Ovis aries: one gene and its partner. The protein of the gene in region 1 purifies or fractionates together with the protein of each later gene. This does not show direct contact. Links are inferred from orthologs where the notes say so. Each region holds a gene or a part of one and is shown on either strand. Other genes may lie near its edges. The genes, in order: RPRD1B and POLR2G.

Region 1 (3,812 bases):
TTCATACATGTTCCTTTAGTCTAAACTGGAGGTTTAGAGTAAATACTAAATATACTAGATATTTAGTTCTATACTAGATATCACGCATCCTTTGAAACTAAGCAGTGTAAACCAGACTGCATTTTCTTAAGTTTCCAAAAACATACTCTTTAAAAAAAATTCTTTTTCACAGTTATGTAGAATTTCATTTGTGTTCTGCCTCATACTTAGAAATACTGTGTGCATTCTCTTAGAATCCGAATCACTGATTCAGTATACACTCTGGGGTAAGGACAGTGGTTCTTTTTTAAATGTCAGGGATGATCATTTATAGAATTCGCCTTCACCTTGTTGAACTCCAGCTAAGTTTCTCTAAACCCCACATCCCCACATATCTTCATGGATGGTGTTATCTTTGTTTTCCTTGTACAGACTGAGGAGCTGATCAAAGCTTTGCAGGACCTAGAAAATGCTGCATCAGGGGATGCTACTGTCCGACAGAAAATTGCTTCTTTACCCCAGGAAGTGCAAGACGTTTCTCTTTTGGAAAAAATAACAGGTGAGAAGTTAGAGGTCGGGTGAAGGATGAGGGAGGGGAAACATATCTCCAGTGCATCAGACCCCAGGACGTGCCAACGTCTGCAGATAGAGACCTTCCACCTGGGGCTGGGTGCTCTATTGTCTTGAGATTTGCAAACATAACTCACAGACTGAACAGAGGAGCTGCTGGCATAGTCTGAGCTTGAATACTCGAGGAGTTATTGCAGAAATGCAACGTGCCTCAGCCTGTGGTACTCAGTTTAAGTAAGGTCTTTTGAAACCAGGGTACAAACTGTGTGTGCAGGAGGGCAAAGGAGGGGGAAGCATTAAACTCAAGACCCTCTTTAACAAAAAAGAGATGTATGGCTCAGTGTCATGATTTTTACACTGTACCCTGCCACGCCCCCTTGAGGTTCTTCAGTGCCGGGAACCCCCTGTTTATATGGTTAATCATATCACCTTGGCCTTGTGATGATCACCCCCAATTAAACAGGGAGGGGTGGTTGACATTCTTCCCGCTCTATGCGTGGTCAGTCAAGAGGAAGGAGTGCGCGTGAACTCCACACCCCGCCCCGCCCCCGCCCCCGCCTCCAGTTAGGAAGCAAGCTGTGAGGAGACGTGAGGGAAGGCAGTGCTACTCAGACAGAGGGGCCGGGAAGCCCGTCAGGCAGGAGTGGGATAGCTGGAGAACACAGCCTGGCCTCCTGGCTCGCTCTCTGCTCCCCCCACCCCAGATATCAAACCCACTGGATCGAACAACCTGTTGAGCGTACAGACTGTTGATCTTTCCCCCTTTTCACAACCTTTAGCCCCCTCCTGGCCTCGTGTTCTGTTACTCGGCTTCGGATCCTTATAATCACCCTTCACACACACCCTCAGTGCCTTTTGCTCTTTTTCCCCTTCACCCTATAGTCTCCTGGAAAAACCCAACTTTTTGAATCACAGTCTGCAAAACTGAAAACAAGTTAACATAAAATTAGCAGCATGTGTAATTGCATTTGTCTGTTTTCACTGACTTAAAGGACTTCAGTTTCAGTTCAGTTCAGTCGCTCAGTCGTGTCCAACTCTTTGCGATCCCATGAATTGCAGCATTCCAGGCCTCCCTGTCCATCACCAACTCCCAGAGTTCACTCAAACTCACATCCATCGAGTCAGTGATGCCATCCAGCCATCTCATCCTCTGTCATCCCCTTCTCCTGCCTCCAATCCCTCCCAGCATCAGAGTCTTTTCCAATGAGTCAACTATTCACATGAGGTGGCCAAAGTACTGGAGTTTCAGCTTTAGCGTCATTCCTTCCAAAGAACACCCAGGACTGATCTTTAGAATGGACTGGTTGGATCTCCTTTCAGTTCAAGGGACTCAAGAGTCTTTTCTAACACCACAGTTCAAAAGCATCAGTTCTTTGGCGCTCAGCATTCTTCACAGTCCAACTCTCACATCCATACGTGACTACTGGAAAGGACTTACATGGCTTTTAAAAAGTATTTATTTATTTTGATTTTTAATTATGGTGAAATACACCTAACAAAACTTGCCATCTTAACCATTCTGAAGTGTGCCATTCAGAAGAGCTGAGTACATTCACGTTGTACAGCCAATTTCTGGAACTCATTCCATCTTGCAGAACTGAAACTGTCTATCATTAAAGTAACAATTCACTGTCCCCATCCACTCCCCAGCTCCTGGCAGCCGCCACTCACAATTGTATGTGGCTGGACAAAACAAATGATAAACATTGGCTAACTTTTCTTCCTATTTCTGTGGATGAGCATGCTGTTTTCTAAAGCAGCCCATTAGCCTAGTAAACCTGTTTCTTCTTACCTACCCAAGGGCATGTTCCAACAATTTTCCCCTTTTCTCCTGCATCTCCAGTCCCTCCCCCGCCCCCGCCCCACTGGGTCATTCTCCATAGCATAAAAATACATATTTTTTTCCCATGTGGAAAATTTTTTTTTCTTGGCCGGGTACATTCCTCTGGCTATTGTCTCCTTTCTCTGTTGTGTAGCTGAACATTCTAAATAGATGGCATATACTCATCTGTCTCTATTCTCCCCACTCCCCCTTTTGGTTTCACTTCACTGACTGCTCTTATCAGTGTTGGCTGATGACTTCCATGTTGCTAAATTCAGTGGTGAATGTTTTCTGCCCATTGTGTGTGGTGCAGAGTATAAAAAGAGACAAAGTTTCTGACGTAGACATCAGAAGGGGGATGGAGAGTGCCCCCCTCACTAGTCTTATCAAGGCCTTATATATTTTTGCCCATTCTTAATTTGGCCCAGTTGATCATTTCTTCTTCCTAAAAATACTTTCTCACTTGGTGTGGTAGGCAGAATAATGGTCTTCCCCAAATGTCCATGTTCTGATCCTTAGAGCCTGCAAATATATTGTCTTACATAGAAAAAGGGACTTTGTGGATGTGGTTGAGTAAAGAATCTTGCGGCGGGGAGGTTATTCTCCTGGGTTAGTCAAGTGGGCCGGGTCCTTAGAAGAGCAAGGAGAGCAGGAGTAAGAGATGTGACTGGGGAAGCAGAAGTTGGAGGGATGCATTTTGAAGAGAGAGGAAAGGGCCATGATGATAAATGTCAAGGTAGTACGTTTGTGTTGTTCTAAGCCACCAGGTTTCTGATGCTGTGTTACTGGCGGCAGGGGGAAGCTGGGACGGCGTATGTTCTGGCCTTCCTCTCTAATCTCGTGTCTTTTCAGGCTCCTTTGTTGATTTCTTCCCTTCTTCTCTTAATTTTGAGTAATTAGCTCTCTTCCCTAGTTAATTTCACTGACAGTTCCTTTCATCCTGTTTGATGACTTTAAATAACAATTTTTGTGGTAATGATCCCCTAGTTTACATCTCTAGGGTTGACCTCTTCCTTGAACTTGAGACCCATACATCCAGCCTCCTGCTCTGAGTGTTACTGAGTCGCATATCCTGAAGGACATTTCAGACTTAACCTGTCCCAAACCAGACTCCTCCTCTTCCCTCCAAATTTGTCTCATGGTCTTCCCTATCTCAGTAGATGACCCTCATCATTCCTGTTGATCTGAACTACGGCTTGAACCTGACACCTGTTACCACCTCCGCTGCTGCCACCTAGTGGGAATCTCCACCATCTTCACTAAAATTATCCCAGTAGCTTCCTGTCTGCTCTCCCTGCTGCCTCTTGTCCCCCAGCCATCCGTCTGTCTTCAACATAGTAACCAGAGTGATCCACTAAAATAGAAGTTGGATCATGCCCCACTCTGCTCAGAACACTCTAGTCATGTGGGCTTCTTGCCAAGCACTCTCCAAGGGCCCTTG
Region 2 (3,912 bases), on another chromosome or scaffold:
GGAAGAAGACCAAGTATATATGTGTTGGTGTTTTTATTATAAATATCACAGTTACTTTTGTCTTGTTTCAAATTTTTTATTATGAACAATTTCAAACGCAGAAAAGTAGAAGAAAGTGTAAGAAACCACCATTATCCATCATCTGTCTTCAACGATTATTAATATATTGCTAAACTTGTTTCATCTACGTCTTTGCCTTCTTTAGTATAATTCATTTAATCATAAGTTAAGACAACTAAATTTTTCATAACTGCTGTGTTTAACAACTGGCTTGCAAAGTGCCTGAAATATTAACAGTTGGCTTTTGTAAGGGTCTCCAGCACACCACACCATTGCTCTTGCGGGGAGGCTGGTTTCAAAAGAGGGAAGGAGGGAGTTGAGGCTGTTGAGGCCTGCCCTTTGATCTGCTGTCTGCTTCCTCATGTGGTCTCTGGTGGAGGGGATCCCCATGGAGTCTGAGCAGCTGACCAACAACCTCAATCGTTCTAGGAAATGGGCAGCATCAATGGAAACCGGTGTGTGACAGCTCTAAGGAAATCAGGCTTTCTTGCTTACAATATACTAAAACTTGCTCAGGCAACAGGCGAGTTTGTTCAAGACCCCAGGGACTGTGGAGGCTTTAGAACCAGCCGCCCTTGCTGAGCCTTTGTCATAGGGGCGGGTCTCATGGTGTTTCCGAGACTCAGCAGCCCACAGACTACATGCTCATTCTCGTTGTGCTGAGTTTAATAAAGGGACTATCTGCAAAAGGGGGGGGTAGAGCTGAAGGAACAGGTAAAGTTTGCTCACCAGTTCTACAGGCCCTTGTGTGTAAGGGGGCGGGGGAGGGTGGTTAGAGGAGAGCAGTGACTTGAGGTTCTTTTCACACCGGGAGGGGGCGCTGCCTTCTGGGCTCTGACTAGGCCGGTTTCAACTCCAAACTACAAGAGCCCGGTAATAAATGCCTGAATATGCAAGAGCCTTGGAGTCAGGCATGTTGAATTTGAATCTCGACCCTGGGTGACCTCACCCTTCTGAGCCTGGTATCTTATTTGTAAATGAAAGTAATAACAAAGCCTGCCGGGTAGGGTTGCTGTTTAGATTAATTGAGATAAGGATAGCTTCTTACTATGCTTACTATGTGAAAGCAGTCTTCAACTCTTTGCAGAATGAATAGACTCTGCTAAAGCGCTTTATTTATGCGATCTCTCATTAATTAATTCCTTTTAAAGGTATTTATTAAGCATCTAATCTATGCGAGATACTGTTATGCTTAAGGGAGTTGGGCGCTTTGACGGCTGGACGGAGGGGAGGAGCCTCATGGGTTTCCCCACCCACGACAGCGAAGCCCAATGGGGACCCGTGGAGGCTGTGAGTCCCGCCCACTTTTCGGGGCAGGCCCGGAAACGGGGTTGGAGAGGTTGCTGTATTTCCGGTCGGTGTGGCGGCTCCGCTGCTCGTGAAGCGGTAGACCCGGCTCCTGTTCAGCTTCCTTCGGGAAGATGTTTTACCACGTGAGCAGGGCACGGGGTGGCGGCGAGGGCAGGGTCAAGAGGAGGAGCAAGCGGAAGGCCGGGACTAGGGGCGGCTTCTTGCCTCATACTCCTCCCGCTCCTTGCCCGACTCCATTCCAGTTTCCCCCCAGATTTCCCTGGAGCACGAGATTCTGCTGCACCCGCGATACTTCGGCCCTAACTTGCTCAACACGGTGAAACAAAAGCTCTTCACCGAGGTGGAGGGGACCTGCACCGGCAAGTGAGTGTCGCACCCTCCCTGCCGCCTAAACACTGCGCACACGGCTTTCTATGCTTGCACCCGCTTCCCAGCGCCTACACACCGTGAAAGCTTCTGCTACCTACCCTGGCAAGCCCTCTCACCCTTCCAGGCAGTTAGCTGCTTCCTGCTTTGGGTTCCTACGGTGCCCTCTGTGAAGCTCCATAACAGAACTGCCTTTCCTCAGCCAACATTTGTCATTAACTCTGCAAACATTTCTGAAGCTCCGGCTGTGTGCCAGGACTGGGCCCTGGGAACAATGCAGTGAAAAAGACAAAATGAGGTCAGCCCTTTCTTTATCCCTCATACCCAGGGACCTGGCATGGTACATCTTGGGCCTCACTAAAAGCTTGTTGAATGAATGAATGGGCAGGATAAGGCAGATTGAGAGTTAACCGGAGGAAGGAAGAGGAGTGAGACTTGACCATCTCTGGGCTCTGCACAGAGGCGCTCCGCACATGGTGAAGTAAATGAGGGGGGAGGAGCAGGGCCGCAGAGTACTCAGGTATCCAGCATCAGAGTAAGCTGAGGTGTTCTTTGAACATACAGGTTCCTGAGCCTCATCTCATTTCTACAGCATCAAGACTGGGGACCAGCCCGGGAACAGGCATTTTAATGTTTCTCTCAGGTGATTCTGAGACATCGCCAAGGTTGAGATTAAGGACTGCAGCCCTTTTGGACACTGATTGTGAAATTATGAGAGCAGCGTTTGGCATTATAGCTGCTGCTGATTGTCCTGTCTCCTCTCTTGATCATTAAGCTCTCCTGGGGCCAGGGGGCCGACTACTCCCCCCTCTGTGCTCCCCCTTTACCTCTAGGGTCCGTGACTCTTGCAGCAGATGCTTTTTTGTATTTTTTTCCTGGCTGCGTTGGGTCTTCGTTGTTGCACGAGCTTTCTGTAGTCGCAGCAGAAATGAGAAGTGTGTGGGTTTCTCATTGTGGTAGCTTCTCTTGTTGAGGCACACGGGCTCTAGGGCTTGGGCTTAGTAGTTGCAGCGCACTGGCTTAGCTGTTCTGTGGCGTGTGGAATCTTCGGGGACCAGGGATTGAACTTGCGTCCCCTGAATTGGCAGGGGACTTCTTAACCACTGGGCCACCAGGGAAGCCCTGCTGTGGCAGATGGTTTCAGAGGCTCTTCCACACACAGTGTCTCAGTTTCTCTGCCTCCTTGCAGGTATGGCTTTGTAATTGCCGTCACCACCATCGACAATATCGGTGCTGGTGTGATCCAGCCAGGCCGAGGCTTTGTCCTTTATCCAGTTAAGTACAAGGCCATTGTTTTCCGGCCCTTTAAAGGGGAGGTCGTGGATGCGGTGGTAACTCAGGTCAACAAGGTAAGAGCATCCACAGGGGAGGTAGTGGGAAGGTCCCTCTCTTAGAAGATCTGGGATGGGTCCCACTTTGGTCAAATTCTGTGTCTTTGGTCAGATCACTTCTCTGTGCTTCAGGTTTCCTCACCTGTCAAATAGTATGGTACTGCCTCACTCAGGGGCATGTAAGTCAATAGTGAGTCAGAACAGTAGTAGCCTCCACTGTGGACCAGGTAGTGTGCAAAGCCTCTGACTCTGAAATGAGTGCTTTTATCTCCACGCTGAAGCTTGGAGAAGTTGAGTCTTCTGGCCACGGTCACGTGTCCAACAAGTGTTCAAAACCCAGAAGGACAAGTTCTAGGTCTCAGCTGTTTACTGCTACACTTCCTTAGCTTAGAATGAAAGCTTGGAAAAACAAACACACACATGACAAATTTCAGAGTGGTTTCAGAATATGAAGAACATTGTTAGGAACCAGATAAAGATGGGAGGCTTAGGAGACTGGGGGACAAAAGAAAAAGCAAGGTCTCTCTTTTCCCTTCTAGGTTGGACTCTTCACAGAAATCGGGCCCATGTCCTGCTTCATCTCTCGACACGTAAGTCTAGGCACGCTGGGTGGGTCTAAGAAGGAGACCTGTACTCATGAGAATCTACTGAAGCATCCTTTTCAAGTGCTCTTACCCAGTTTGACCTTCCTTTCAGTCCATCCCATCAGAGATGGAATTTGATCCTAACTCCAACCCACCGTGTTACAAAACGATGGATGAGGTGAGTGGGCAGAAGTTGGTGAGAGGGCCAGGGGAATGAGCCACTCTGAGGGAGGGTATTGGCCTGGGGGTTTCTGAGTGTA

What was found.
Region 2: the proteins of RPRD1B (region 1) and POLR2G purify together in Homo sapiens (affinity purification with mass spectrometry; 3 studies listed by BioGRID and IntAct, counting the BioPlex papers as one, with this or other methods). This does not show direct contact. The link is inferred for Ovis aries from reciprocal best matches to the Homo sapiens genes RPRD1B and POLR2G.

What each region holds. Positions count from the first base shown.
Region 1 is NC_056066.1:66,923,167-66,926,978, forward strand, and holds part of RPRD1B (regulation of nuclear pre-mRNA domain-containing protein 1B), read left to right. Parts: intron 1-411; coding exon 412-538; intron 539-3,812. UniProt on the Homo sapiens protein: Interacts with phosphorylated C-terminal heptapeptide repeat domain (CTD) of the largest RNA polymerase II subunit POLR2A, and participates in dephosphorylation of the CTD by RPAP2. Transcriptional regulator which enhances expression of CCND1.
Region 2 is NC_056074.1:37,615,695-37,619,606, forward strand, and holds the start of POLR2G (DNA-directed RNA polymerase II subunit RPB7), read left to right. Parts: upstream 1-1,402; 5' UTR 1,403-1,481; coding exon 1,482-1,493; intron 1,494-1,624; coding exon 1,625-1,734; intron 1,735-2,926; coding exon 2,927-3,086; intron 3,087-3,607; coding exon 3,608-3,658; intron 3,659-3,764; coding exon 3,765-3,830; intron 3,831-3,912. UniProt on the Homo sapiens protein: Core component of RNA polymerase II (Pol II), a DNA-dependent RNA polymerase which synthesizes mRNA precursors and many functional non-coding RNAs using the four ribonucleoside triphosphates as substrates.